Caenorhabditis elegans: one gene and its partners. The protein of the gene in region 3 binds, or shares a complex with, the protein of the main gene of each other region. Each region holds a gene or a part of one and is shown on either strand. Other genes may lie near its edges.

The links.
Region 1: mdt-15 (region 3) and sur-2 share a complex: the UniProt entries of both Caenorhabditis elegans proteins name them as parts of the mediator complex.
Region 2: mdt-15 (region 3) and mdt-18 share a complex: the UniProt entries of both Caenorhabditis elegans proteins name them as parts of the mediator complex.

What each region holds. Positions count from the first base shown.
Region 1 is NC_003279.8:14,784,750-14,789,584, forward strand, and holds the start of sur-2 (Mediator of RNA polymerase II transcription subunit 23), read right to left. Parts: upstream 3,055-4,835; 5' UTR 3,048-3,054; coding exon 2,937-3,047; intron 2,872-2,936; coding exon 2,678-2,871; intron 2,594-2,677; coding exon 2,212-2,593; intron 1,214-2,211; coding exon 950-1,213; intron 895-949; coding exon 722-894; intron 1-721. Other genes in the region: F39B2.3 (15-oxoprostaglandin 13-reductase), read right to left, coding at 3,469-4,020, 4,216-4,298, 4,382-4,733. UniProt on the Caenorhabditis elegans protein: Component of the Mediator complex, a coactivator involved in regulated gene transcription of nearly all RNA polymerase II-dependent genes.
Region 2 is NC_003279.8:6,492,268-6,495,775, forward strand, and holds mdt-18 (Mediator of RNA polymerase II transcription subunit 18), read right to left. Parts: upstream 1,581-3,508; 5' UTR 1,565-1,580; coding exon 1,520-1,564; exon of another isoform or gene 1,478-1,519; coding exon 1,403-1,477; intron 1,350-1,402; coding exon 1,234-1,349; intron 1,181-1,233; coding exon 1,116-1,180; intron 1,065-1,115; coding exon 778-1,064; intron 729-777; coding exon 618-728; 3' UTR 555-617; downstream 1-554. Other genes in the region: dbr-1 (Lariat debranching enzyme), read right to left, coding at 1-162, 286-459; uri-1 (Unconventional prefoldin RPB5 interactor), read left to right, coding at 2,062-2,094, 2,220-2,333, 2,377-3,222, 3,280-3,508. UniProt on the Caenorhabditis elegans protein: Component of the Mediator complex, a coactivator involved in the regulated transcription of nearly all RNA polymerase II-dependent genes.
Region 3 is NC_003281.10:5,829,571-5,835,504, forward strand, and holds mdt-15 (Mediator of RNA polymerase II transcription subunit 15), read right to left. Parts: upstream 4,176-5,934; 5' UTR 4,088-4,175; intron 3,944-4,087; 5' UTR 3,907-3,943; coding exon of another isoform or gene 3,814-3,906; 5' UTR 3,768-3,813; coding exon 3,712-3,767; intron 3,489-3,711; coding exon 3,265-3,488; intron 3,215-3,264; coding exon 2,724-3,214; intron 2,652-2,723; coding exon 1,497-2,651; intron 1,147-1,496; coding exon 829-1,146; intron 751-828; coding exon 652-750; 3' UTR 555-651; downstream 1-554. Other genes in the region: R12B2.13 (uncharacterized protein), read right to left, coding at 3,814-3,906; R12B2.6 (uncharacterized protein), read right to left, coding at 4,452-4,583. UniProt on the Caenorhabditis elegans protein: Component of the Mediator complex, a coactivator involved in regulated gene transcription of nearly all RNA polymerase II-dependent genes.

The DNA.
Region 1 (4,835 bases), on a different chromosome or scaffold from region 3:
ATAATTTTTCCAGATTTTCGAGAATATCTATTATCCAAAACTTCTCTTTTTGGATTTTTTAAAAGAAAAAGTTACAAGAAAAATTAAAGATTTTGGTTTTCAATTTTTCTAAATGTCGGAAATCTAAAGTTTTGTTTTTTGGTAAATTTTTTTTTAAAAACATTTCAAGAAAATCTTAAGTTTCGGTATTTTTTTTCGAAATTTTATTTAAGAAGTGAAAAATTGGATTTTTCTGGAATTTTCTAAGAATAATTGAAAAAAAGAAATATTTTGGTTTTTCGATTTTTTTTTGAAGGTCTAAAAGTCAAGAACATTCAGATTTTTGAAGAATTTTCAAAAGATTTTGTTTAAATTATAGCTTTTATCCTAAGAATTTTGATTTTGGATTTTTTTTTCCTTCAGAAATAAACCAAAAATTGAAACGCTTAGTTTTTAAATTAAATTATTAGCTCTACTTTCAAATTTCTGGCTTTTCAAGACAATTTTGAAATTCAAAACTTGTGTTTTTCAAATAGAATCTTTTTTTTTTCGATTTTCTCTTTGAAAAACCCAAAAATTTAGCTTTCCTGAATGTCGGAAATCGAAATGTTCGGATTTTTTAGAATTTTACTTTAAAAGTAAAAAATTGGATTTTTTTTCTGAATTTGCGAAAAATAATTGAAAAAAGGAATATTTTTGTTTTTCGGGTTTCGCAAAATCGAAAAATTTGAAATACACTAACAATAAATGTTGTGTAATCCCATAAATAACAATATTAACAATATTGTCCCATTGATATCGTGGAATTGGCTCAGTTTCCGGTAGAGATTCTGCTTCGGCCATTGATTCACATATCATTACAGATATCAACATTTCCCAATTTGTCTTTGTCTTCGTTTTGCTCGGAGGATGAAGCTGAAACTTAATTCGGGATAAGTTATTTAAAATATATATATTCTCAATTTCATACCGAGTCCTTTCCCAATGGCTGACGAAGAATCATGTAGAGGGTGTACAAGTATGTAGAAGTATGTTCAGGACGATATGGAAGTGTATGATGAGGTTGAACAATTGTATTACTGGCATTTAATCCATGTTCTTCCCAACACGATGTTAATGGATAGAATGATGGATGTAGTGGAATGGGGTAAACGAATCCACGGCCACACACGTGGGATAGGTCGGCAATTGGTCGGAAATGGACGGATAAGCTTGCCAGTTTCTCCGTTAGTCTCTGTAATATTTGGCATTTTAATTTAATCTTAAGAAATATAGGCTTGGTAAATGAATCGAGATGGGTCGATCCGTGACTCATCTCGAGCCGCTTTTTGCAAAAAAAATCCACAATTGCCGGAATTGAAATTTCCGGCAAATCAGCAGATTGCCGGAAAATCAGCAAATTGCCGAAATTTTTCGGCAAATTGTGGTTTTGTACATTCAGATAATTTTTCGTCGATGAAGGTGATTTTTCAGTCAATCAGCATACAAATCAGGGGTGTGTGGCAAACGATTTTTTCGGCAAATCGGCAAAGTGCCGGAATTGAAATTTCCGGCAAATCGTGAAACCGGCAAATTTCCGAATTTACCGGAAAAATACCAATTGTCGAAAATTTTTGGCAAATTGTGGTTTCGCACTAATTTTTTGGGAATTTCAGAATTGTACGCATCCTGTGAGTGTTTGAATGTTTTTTTCTACATCTTTTTTGAAAAGTAAGCAAATTCTATAAAAATATCTGAGGAAAAGGGAAAAACAGCCCAAAAAGTCACAGTTTTAAGTGTTTCAGTCTTATGAAAAAATCCCTCAAAACATTTGCGGAAAATTTAACATCCGGTAAACGGCAAATCGGTAAACCAGCAAATTGCCCGATTTGCCGAACGGTAATTGCCGCCCACCCTTGGTAAAAACTTCAAATAAAATGTTGAGAAACTGAAAATTTAGAAATCAGAAGAAATTTCCCGTCATTTTTTTATGGCTTAAATTAAGTTTTTTAAAACTTCTGTAGTATTCAATTTGGTTTACTTTCTGTAACTCAAAAACTAAATGCACAGAAATTAGAAACTTTGCGAGAATGGTCGAACTTTTTTTTGGTTTCCGCCAAAAAAAAATTCGACTTTTTGAATGTAGAGAGATCTTTTTTTTGTGTTTTTTTTGCCGAAAAAAAAAATTAACAAATCTAAATTTTTACATTGTCTTTATATTTTCAGCAATTTTTTTTAAAATTTTCCCCTCACCGGCAGCATAAGCGCCTGTTTCGGCATTCCTCTCATAATTTCTGATAATGTGATGAGTGGAGGCATCAAATTGGAGTCTCTATCCACAATATGCAGTATTACATTCTCAACAATGCGGATTTCGTTTACTTGCTCCGGAGATAGTGAATACGGTAGGCGACGGAGCTGTGATTCCAGAATATATCGGAGGATATTCCGAATTCCTTTGTAATCGATTTTTGGAATGCAATCATTGATGAATTTCCATTTTTCTTGGCATATTCTACTGCATAATCGGAAGTCCGAAGTCATTATGAGTCCTTCTGCGCACAGATTCGTTGAAATCGCACCTTTTTGATGAGCATATCGGAGAAGCTGATCTACGACACGTTCGTAGTTTGTTCTGGAATAAAACACTGTTAAAACCTCTGATTATATGCAAAAGAACTGTTAAAATTGTTTTTTTTTCGAATTTTTAAATTCTCACCCAACAAAAACTCGATCAGGAGAGTTCTTTTCCGCCACGTGATGAACCATTTTTATTAGCTCTTTCACTAAAGATTGTTTTTCTTTTTCTTCCATTTTACTCATCATATTATTGAATTGAATCCGTAAAATCGCCGTCTCGTCGCCAATATTCGACGTAAGAGGTCGAAAAAATTTTCTTGTGTGGTTTTCTTCCTAGAATATATTTTTATGAGTTATGTTTAATTTTTTAAGCGTTATTTTTGATTTAAAAAACTCACAACGAGACTTTTAATTTGACTCTTTATTCGATTGACTTCCTGAACAAATTGCGGAGAGCACGTGTCATCCATTTCAATTGTATCTTCTGCGGAACCAGGTTTATCCGTCATTTTGTTGCCTGAAAATGTAATAATTTTCAAAAGAAAAATGTTAAAATAATAAATTGAAACAAAATAGGTTGATAAAAATTAAAAACGCATTGTTTGAGAAAGATATTACTGCGCCTCTTCTCTCTCACGCGTGACAATAGAGCGCGCTTGGTGTGTGGTCTCTTCGTTCACGCATATTCTGCGGATTTGAACTCTACCAGAGTTCTGCGAAAAAACTACTACATATATAATACATTTCACACATTTAAATATCTTGACTTTTATTGTAGGTAAACTGACATTTGGACTGATTTGCCAAATTTCTGTTGAAAATCAGTTTCAAGAAGCTGAAATCTAGATTAATTTATTTTTTTCATATCTTCATAAAAAGTACAGTTTATTCTCATTTACATTCCTTTAAATGGCGTGTTAAAATAATGAATTAATGTTCGATTTGCACTACAAGATTTCCTTTCGCTCCCTTGTTGTTCATAATTTCCTCATGAGCCAGTCCTAATTGCTCGAGACGATACAATTTGTTTATAAGTGGACGAAACTCGGTTTCCTTCAAGAATGAGACAATGTTGATGCCAAAGTCCAAGAGCTCAGCCTCGGAAGACATTCCCAATGCTACACCGTAAACAGCTCCTTCTGTAACCATAAGTTGTCTTGCGTTGATCGTGGTCTCGGCGCGATTTCCAATTACTGCAACTCTACCACGTGGAGCCAGCAATCCGAGGTCCGTGTTCAGATTTGTGTGAGCAGCCATTTCGAAAATGTGGTTGAAGCCTCCTGGATAATCATTTTTCATTTTCGACACATATTGCTTATCCGAATGATTATAGACATTCCGTGCACCAAGACTCTTCACGAACCGGATCCCATCAGCAGATCCAGCAGTGCCAACAGCTTCAATGTTCCTCCAGGCAGCCAGCTGCATCAGTGCACTTCCCACTCCACCAGATGCTCCGTGTACAAGTATAACGTCGCCAGTCTGAGAAGAGAATTAGTTTTGGGAGGGAACAGCAGATGGTCGTATTTTAGACCGCCCCTTGTTTGAGATGGAACAGATGGTCAAGTTGGCTTTGTAAAGATTGATTTGTATTGATTTTGCCTCCTAATTTTGATACGTTTTTGCCAAAATTTTAATATTCTCTATGAACCATTTAATAATAAATAAAAGTCAAACCTTTGCACCAGCAAGATGAAACAATGCACGATAAGCGGTAAGATAAGGCACTCCGAGAGAAGCTCCTTCCTCAAACGAAACTCCTGAAATGAGATTTTAGCTATATCTTAGGTCTCGCCACGCGGGCAACTAGCTACAGTAACCCGTTGCGCAATGATTCTTTTACCTTCCGGCAACTCGAATGGTCGATTCACCGCAACATACTCTGCTGTACTGTCCGCTTCTGATCCATACCAGACTCGATCGCCGACTTTCACATTTTTAACGCTTTCTCCCACAAGTTCGACGAATCCGGCTCCATCTTTTCCTGGTACATATGGAAGATTTGGTAGTTTTCCATACTGACCAGCACGAATATATGTGTCAACTGGATTGACACCGGCAGCGTAATTCCGAACGAGAACCTGGTTTTTTTCAAGCCTGGGCATATCACTCTCGACGGCTTCTATGACATCAGGTGCTCCGAATCGTCGGACTACAGCTGCGCGCATGCTTGATTTGCAAATCGATTTGCTCATTGTTCTAAAAATGGCACTTATCAGTAATATGAAATGCGTACTCGCACTGATTAGGCGCACGGATTTATTCGGATGGGTCTCGCAGCGAGAAAAATGTTATGG
Region 2 (3,508 bases), on a different chromosome or scaffold from region 3:
TTGTTCTCCAGAATAGTATTTATAGAATGTTTGAAGACTTCTGTACTTTGGTGGAATACTCATATGTGGAAGGTCGCCGTAGTTTCGGACAGCTTGATAATCGCCACAACAGATCAGCAAATCGAATTTGTAGCCATTTTTCTGTTCGATTAGTGTCATTGTCTGAAATATTTTTTTTAAATAGTTGTAATTTTAAATAGCAATTAAAACAATCTAATAGAGAAAATAGATCTGAAATATGCCATTAATTTTGTTCGAAAAATATGATTTTTTTTTAAATTTTACCTCATAAATAGCATCCATTTCTCCGTGAGAGCATCCGACAACAGCAATTCGTATTTTCTTTTCCCCATTGTTAACTTCTTTTTCAACTACTAACGTCTCCGGAGCAGGATCTTGATGCGAACCTTCATGGGAGCCACAGCAAGGTTGCTCATCTACTGGATTTTTCGATGACATTCTAAATTTTCATTGGAGTAAAAAAATGTTTAATGTTGATATCAGAAAATAAAAGGTATAAACCATTGAAGCTTTGTGGGATATTAACATTATTGAATACTTCGTGAATTTTATAAATTAAATAACGTATCAAAGTGAGATCAATCAATTAATGAAGATTAACGACGAGGAGCTGCTTGAGCTGGGAACATTTTCTTCCAGTAATCGACTTTTTCCATATTAACAAGTGGCATCAGCTGATCGGCAAAATCACGAAGAGACTTGGCAGCCTAAAATGAGTTGAAAAAATAAATTCGAAATTATTACTAAAAAACCTACCGGCATGTATTCTGCAGACTCGGGCAATGAGATACTGATTTCCACTAACGCAGAATCAGAAACAGATTTGATTGAATTTGAATCATATGTTCCTGCGCGAGAAGTACTAGTCAATATTGAGTGCAGAATCTTTATATTTCCTTTTGTCCACAATTTTCCTTGTGTCATATATTCATAGTCCATGCGGAGACCCAAGGATTTCGCATACGTCATCATATCCTGAGAATGGACAAGTGAACTGATTTCTTTTCGAACAATAGTTGGGCATTTTTGATCTGGTTCCGGAACTGAAATAAAACAAAAAATTATAAAATACGAATTATAAGGTTAAAACCGACCTCCAATGTACTTTAATTGCCAATAATTTTGAATTCGATGTTCTGTTCGGAATCTTCTTCGCAATCTTCAAAAATCAAATACATGCAAATATTTAAATAGATAAACAAAAAAGCTTACTTAATATCGGTTTTGATATCCATTATACCCGAAGATCGTAGGCTGAATGACATCTCATGCTCGAAGAATTCCTCACATCCCGGATCACAAAGGCCGGCTAAACGTCGTTCCAAGTCCTAAAGTTGAAACTTTTGTATTAGAATTTAGTCCAATTACTTTAAAAACTAACTGGGACATTTTTTGCGAAAATAGATCCATAAAGAACGCATTCTTGTGTTTGATAGGGAGTTGAATTCACAGAAAGCTGAATTAAAATGTTTTAGATGGATTTTAACAATCGAAATACCTTTTCTTGTGTTCCATCTTCATCAATATCCACTAAATTGTCCATATTTTGAATGAATCAACTAAATAAACAGAATAAAAAATGTTTTTAAAAAATTAAATTAATTCAAAACTATTTGAGCGTGATATTAAATGTATTCTACGCAATTCACAGCTGGTGTTTGCGGACTCACACTCTACGTGACTCATTTCCAGGGAAACCAACACTCCCGAATATTTTACCATTTTTACGATAAAACTCTGGTTTCAGTTACTTTAATGGTTAAAACTCTACTTACTTTCAATATTGCATAAAATATATGCGATAAGTTTTACGCATATAAAAAAAGAAGTTTGAAATTCTGAAAGAGTTCATTTCTAAGATTTAACAGATTCCAGAAATCAGTAGTGTCTCCATAAAAGTTTGTACTTTTTTGTACTTTTTTAAATTGCGCTTTCGGAAATTGTTACTTTTTAACATTTTTTCCCATTTTCCGCTCCGAATTACCTCTCTAAGATTTGCAGAAAATGACTGTGACGAGTGAAGAAGACCTATCTGAAAAAATGAGCGAACTCTACGTTGCAGAATGCAATGCGGTAAATTAAAAATCCTTTTACATGATTATGAACGACAAGACAAAAATAATTCGTTTTTAAATTCCGAGTTTGTTTCCCTAAAATAGTATAAAAATAATTAAGTCTGTATGAATTTAATTTTTCAGGCTAAAGCTCGGCTCGAAGTTGAGACCGAATGTCGAAGAATCATTGCTGATAACTATGAAAAAGTTCTGGAACGAGCAAAGGAATATTCGAAAAAGTTGGAAGCTCCTATTTTGGTAAATTACATTCTCTCTCATATAATCTTATTCTAATTTTTAGGCGAAAATTTGCGAAGTCGGTTATTTCTGCGGTGCCCATGTAGTTCGCACGAATCAAGTTACGATGGAAATGGGTGCAAACTATTACGGAGAATGCAGCATTCATACAGCTGAAAAGATCTTGGATCGGAGAGTTTCTGAAATGAGAAGGCAGCGTGAGGAAGGTCTCGATTCAATTCGAATGTTGGATGACAAAATAAAGTTTGCTCAAGATAATTTCTCATCTGTTTCGATTGATGGAGGACCTATCGAAATTGTCGAGAAATACGATGAAGAGATGGAAAAACTGTTTTATCAAAATCGCAAAAACAAAAAGATGTCTCAAAATGATGAACAGAACGAGAAGATAATAGAAAAGAACAAATTGAATGGTGACCAAGATCACAACGATGTGATGAACCGTTTGGAAGAACTAGAGAAACTGGAACAAGACAATGATGAGATGGAAGAAGCTCCAATTCCGAAACCTTTTGAAGTTTCAAACGAAGATTTACAGGATTTGGGTAAATTAGAGGAAGTTGAGGAAGTTGAACAAGATCCAACTGATAAAAAACTAAGATTTGGAATGAATGAACGTTTGCTGGCACAACCTGGAGTAACACAGAAGGAAATGGAACGGCTGTTAGATTTCTTAGACACTTGTGATGAAGAGAGTTCCGATGAGGAGTATGATGAAGATGAAGAGGAAGGAGACGATGATGAAGAGAATCTTAACAATAGTGTAGAAGAACTCGACTCTGATGATTATGCATCTGATGATAATATCGAGAAAAGCAATAATTCTGACCAACAACTGAAATCCAAAAAGATAGAGACCCAAGTGATTAAGGTCGAAGAAATTGTTGAGGTAATTTCAAATACTAAATAGAAACAATTCACTATTATTTTAACACACAATTTTTAGGAAACCGTAACAAAAACCACCGTCAAACGGAAAAAATCGGGAGTTCGATTTGCGCAACAGCTTGAAAATGTGAAAACATTCCATCAAACAGACACTGTCGAAATCAAGGAAGAAGATTCAGTTATTGAAACCAAATCAATTCTCCGGAGCACTGAACCAACACCCGTTGATCGTTCAGCTCTCGAACCCGAGCAAAAGGAACTTGCTGCGATGAGCACAATGACATTTC
Region 3 (5,934 bases):
ATAGAAGGGCAAGCTGATGATAGGAGGAGGAGGCAAAACAATCATTTATAGAGGACAACAACAACTGAATCCATTCCACGAAGACTCGATTTTCTTTTTTGTACAGGTTTTGTGCAACTGAGCAATTCAATTCAGACGAGGCGGAGTTTAGAACGGATTTGACCTGAAAATTAGAAAACATTGATTGAGAAGAAAACAGTTTGTTTAAAAAAAACTGTCTTCTAATTTTTTTAAAGGTTTGCGTTTTTAAAGAGTACTGTAATTTTAAAATCATGTTTCAAATCATATTAATTGTGTTTTCATTGTCAAATTCGGGTATTTTTTTTAGATTGACAGGTATATATTTTTTTAATCAAAAAACGATGAAAAAATAGAGTACTCTTTAAAGACGCACATATTTTCGCATTTGACCAACATTTTTCGTGTCGAGACCGGTTACCGTAATTTTGGTGAAAAATCGTAAACTTTCGCGTTTGAGTAATACTTTTTGTAAAGTTATTACAAAAATTAAAACTTTCCGGAATTTTTTCACTTCCAACTTTATTTTATAATGTTTTTCATATTTTTTATTATTTTACAAAAATAAACATTGAATAACAAAACTTTTAGTGAGCAGGCACAAAAAAAGAAACTTAATGCACTCTACCTAACTTACAAGTTAAGATTATCGTAGAAGAAATCGTTGCCCACGTTGAAAGCGACGTCTAGACCACCGCTTGTCTGGTTTTGGTATTGATTCACTTGTTCTTCCTGTAGAAAATTATAAATTTAAAATTCAATTTGAAGTGCAATTTTCATAAATTTCCCTTTCTCAGCGAAAGAACTTACCCAAGCATTCAAATAGTCAGTAATTGACGAAAGACCGGGTCGTGATAATCTCTCATATACTGAATTTTGTAGATCATCATACAAATATGCATCCAAATCAATGACTGCTCGATCTACAGTCACATTTCCAGCTGGATAAGTGGTTGGAACAACGAGTCGAAGTGGTGGGAACTGTTGATTACGGATTTTACAGACGACAATGATATGATTGGCATCATGACGTTGATGGTTTGGATCAATCTCGAATCGAGCATCAAGGATTTGAAGTTCCTTTCTTGCTGTTTCATTGAGATTTGATCGTTGAACTGGTGGACCAGCCTGAATATTTATTGATTGAGATTATTGATTGGCTGTTGATTTTTTTTTTGTAAAAATAGATTTTTTGGTAATCTTGTTGGTTTTTTCGGACCAAAAAAAGAAAAAAAAACTGAATTGCGAAAATGTTGATTTTTAGTCGGGAGAAGAAAAAATACGAAAATGTTTTGTTTTTGGTCTAAAATGTTTTTGGTGTCCCTGTTTGAGATCAGAGGTTTTTCGTTTTTCGATTTTTTTTTTCGTGTTTTCGGCGACACAATTATTTTTCACTTTTTTCAAAAATCATTTGAGGATACTTTGTGTGTTTTTTTTTTTTGAAAGCTGAGAAACTCAATTTTTAATATAAAACTTACATTCATCGAATTCTGCCCGACGTGCAATGTTGGCTGAAGTGCATCAATCGGCGTTGGGTTTGGAAGGAAATCATCATAGTTCAGATCATCAAGTCCTGACATTCCACCCATTGATCCAGGTGTTCCCATTTTTTGATTCGGTGTACCCATTGGATTCATTGAAGGGGCTCCAGAACTTGGACCTGACATACTTGATCCACTCATCGAATTACGATCTCTTCCAATTGGTCCAGGACCATTTGGCATTCTCATATTGTTTCTCATCGCTGCAGGATTCGGGTATGGAGCATGACGATGATTGTTGACTGGTGATGTCATCGGATCGTGTCCCATATCTCCACGATACATTCCATGAACTGGACCACCTCCACCCTGCATCATCATATGATCCTGTGGCATCATTCGTTGCTGCTGTTGGTGTTGCTGTTGATGCCACATTGGTGGTTGATGCATTTGCATATGTGGTGGTGGAGGTCCCATATACTGCTGATGTCCATAACCTGGATGTCCTCCGTAGGGATTTGGCACCTGACCATTACCCAACATAGCATGTTCACCGTTCATCATCGGATCGTTCATTCCCATATGATTCTGATTCTGTGACATTGGAGCAATATTCAAGAAGTCTTGCTTTCTGGCAATCCACATCTCCAAATGGTTCAAGTATTCAAGGCTAACCACACGTTTTCCTTCGAGCACACTGAGCATAACCTCAAGCTTGTGAGCAGCTTCATGGTTACCCTCATGTCTGCATTGCCTTGCTCGTGTTCTCAAACTGTCGCAGCTTCCACGCATATTTCTCAATTTCGCAGAATACACGGTTTGATCCTCGGAACTCATCATTCCCTGGTTTGGAACCATTCCGGGTCGTTGCTGTTGCTGCTGTTGTTGTTGTTGTTGCTGTTGTTGGGCAGCTGCACGTTGAGCAGCAACATTTCGATCTCCAGGTGGGCCCATCTGATTGTGATGTCCTGGATATTGTTGAGGCTGATTGATAAGTGATTCAAGAACTGATGAAGGACCGGTTGGAGTGGCTCCTTGACCGTTCATTGGTCTTCCAGGATATCCATGTGGTTGTTGTGGTGGCATTGCACCCCATTGTGGTTGTTGTTGATACATATGTGCTGAAGGATCCCAAGGACGAGCTTGATCCATCTGAAAAAAAAATTAATCAAAAATTGAAAAATTAGCAGATTAAAAAAAAATACATTTGAAAAATAAACTCACATCCTTTTTAATCTGCTGATTGTACGGATTTCCACCCATTGGAGCACCACTACCAGGTGGTCCATTCATCATACCGTAACCACCGTATCCATTCGGTGGTCCACCCATATTTGGAGCACCCATTTGCGGTGGTGGCTGACCCATTGCTGGTCCACCATTCATCTGGCTGCTTCCATTTGGGAATGGAACATTTGGTGCCGGCGTCGGACCTCCACCGGGTGCCTGTGATCCTGGAGTGATCTGTCCACCTGGACGAATACTTGTATCTGGTGATGGAAATGAAGCAACCGCGGCGGCAACAGCAGCAGTGGCAGAAGCTGATGGAGCAGGCAATCCTCCTGGCGGATTTGGTGCTGATGGAGTTGTTGATGCCTGTGTTGTTGCTACGGTAACAGGTGGATTTCTTGCCTGAGCTGATGTTGGTTGTGGATCTGGAGGCACAGGAGCTCGATATCCGGGTGTTCCGCCAGCCGGAGTGTTTCCTAATAGAGCTAATTGAAATTTTAGATTTTCGTTGCCACAAAAAACTACAAAAAGTTACCTGCTGTCGTACACGGCGGACTATGAAACTGTGATGGTTGTAACACGGAAGGCACTGCCGCTGATTTACTATTACAATTGATAGCATTAATCACTTTTGCGATCGTCCTCATATATTCGTCCTTCGACATACACTTTGCGAACACATATTCTTCGACCTGCCTCGCGTCACCGGGTACTGGTAAATTTGGGGCATTCTGCCGGTTTCTCGCCAACTCAGGCTCACTGAAAATTGGAAAATTTTTATATTTCGGGATTTTTTTTTCATTTTTAAAAAGAGTACAGCCTGGATACATTTGTGACATCAGCTCCTATGGTTTATAATTTACAAATACTTGGGAATTTATCAAAATTTTGAATGGAAATTTTTGGAAATTTTCAACAAAAAAAAAATTTTTTAAAATGTTTTCTCGGTTATCAAAAAAATATTCCTTTAAAAAAAGCTTACAGTCTCTGAATAACATGCTCTCGAAATTTCGGCGAAGGCCAATCCTCTTCGCTCATCTTTCTACTCTGCTCTTGTTTTTGAAATGTTGCTTTTGCAAGCGATTCAACAACCGTCGACGTCAACGTGGCGGCGGCTTTCTGAGCGTCTTGATTCACACACAATTATCGACAAGAAGGAAAATGAAGAACAAATCAAAACGACGAACGCGGCAAACGAAAAATAACGACGATTCCTGCAAAAGAAATAGAATAATGGATGGTTGAAAGTGGGGAAAAATTGTCACTTTTTGTATTATGGTGCATCGATCTATTGTGATTCAACTTTCAATTCACAAAAGATCAGGATGGAAATATCAAAAAGTTCCCCATTTTCTCACCTCTTGTTCTCGTCAATAGTCGACGAGCCGGCAAAATTTTCGGATCGCCGACGGCAAAATCACTTTTTGATTCGTTCCCCGGTTTGACCTGAAATTAGGAATTGAAAAAAATATTTAGCGATGTTGAACGAAGAAGAGATTAATAATAAAGGAATACGGATAAGGAGACGGATAAGGAGAAAAAAATAAACGGAGTTGAGAGAGATAAGATATCCCAAACGCTTGAAATTAAGAAAGAAAAACAAATAAAAATAGGCAATTATGAGATAGAGATATTCTGTAGGAGAAATGGACCAGAGAGATAAGATATTCAGAACGCTGAAAAACGTTAAATTTTTTAATGGAAGATATGTGGTGGTTAGTATTATTTGGAAGATTTGGTAAGTTTTAAAAAAACTGAAAAATGTTTGAAATTTTCAAACAAAAAGTTCACTTTCACATCAAGATGTGAATTGTCTAGGTTTGCTCCGTGCAGCATCATGTTCCGCGAGTCCATTCGGGCATAACGACGCAGGCAATTCAACGAGAACCTGGAAAATTTAAAAATTAAATGTTTTGTGTATAAAATTTTGTAAAGCAAGGGGACATACATTTCGCGTCAACGTAATTCTTCTAGTTTTTGACAAAAAAACGGCACCCGGTCTCGACACGACACTCTCTTGATGAATGTGAAAGGTGTGCGCCTTTAAAGAGTACTGTAACTCCAAACTTTAATCTCAGTCGAATTTTTAAAGATTTTTCATTGTTTTTCGATAAAAAAATATATTTATGAATTTATGGGAAAACTCAATGAAATGAAAATTTGAAATTACCGCAGTAATGAAAATTTGAAGTTACCGAACTCTTTAAAGACGCAGACCTTTCGCAGTTAACAACAATTTCTGTCGTGTCGAGACCGGGTACCGTATTTTCGGCGCAAAAATTGTAGAATTAATCACAACATTTTTTTGTTTTAAATTGCTCTAGAACGCTGAAATATGTTCTTATCTTATGGAACGTTTTACCGGTCTTATCATTCCCGAATAATTTTCATTTTCTTACAAAAAAAACGAATTCCGTTTTCCGCCTAACAAAAAATCCATTTTCGTCGCAGAGAGAAAACCAGCTCAAGTGCAAGAAATTAGGCAACCTTCCAGCACCACAACACATGTGTGAAGTGCCGGAGAGCGCGCGCGAAAAAAGACGAAAGGGAATTCGGTTAGCGCGCACTGGAAAGTAAACCAATTACACGTGTGTTGGAAGGTGTCCGTCCACAATTTTTACCTGCTTCAAGTCGAAATAGACGGCAGTATCGTCAGGTGTGAGGAATGTGATTGCTTTTCCATGTTTGCCAGCTCGACCTGAAATTTTGGAAAGAATTATCAGATGTTATCGAGAATTAAACTAGAAGTGTGGAAGATTTCAAATATTTAGCTTCAAAATTTAAGAAAAATGTGCACTTTTTTCAATTTTTAAAAGAAAAACTTCTGATTTCAAATTATGAGAGCACCAGTCAAGCTGGGAGCCTAAGATATCGTATTAGAACTTATGGGTCAAAATAAAAACACAAAAATACGACACTGCCAAGTGCAATAACAATGTGAAAAATCAACGCAAGAAGAAAAAGAAAACGAAAAGGGGGAGCAAATCATTTATCACCAAACGAGCGTGTCGACGAAGCAGCACCACCACGCGGTCGGTGAGCCAGATAGAGAGAGAGATAGAGAGAGAGGGAAAGAGCCCGAGCAACTGGCGACATTTTCTAACAGAGAGAGAGTTCGGTGCTGATTGCCTGAGCAAAGACGAAGGGCAGGTGCTGACAGGGAAATTCAGAATACCGATGGAAGCCGTATCGAAGAAGTAGAACT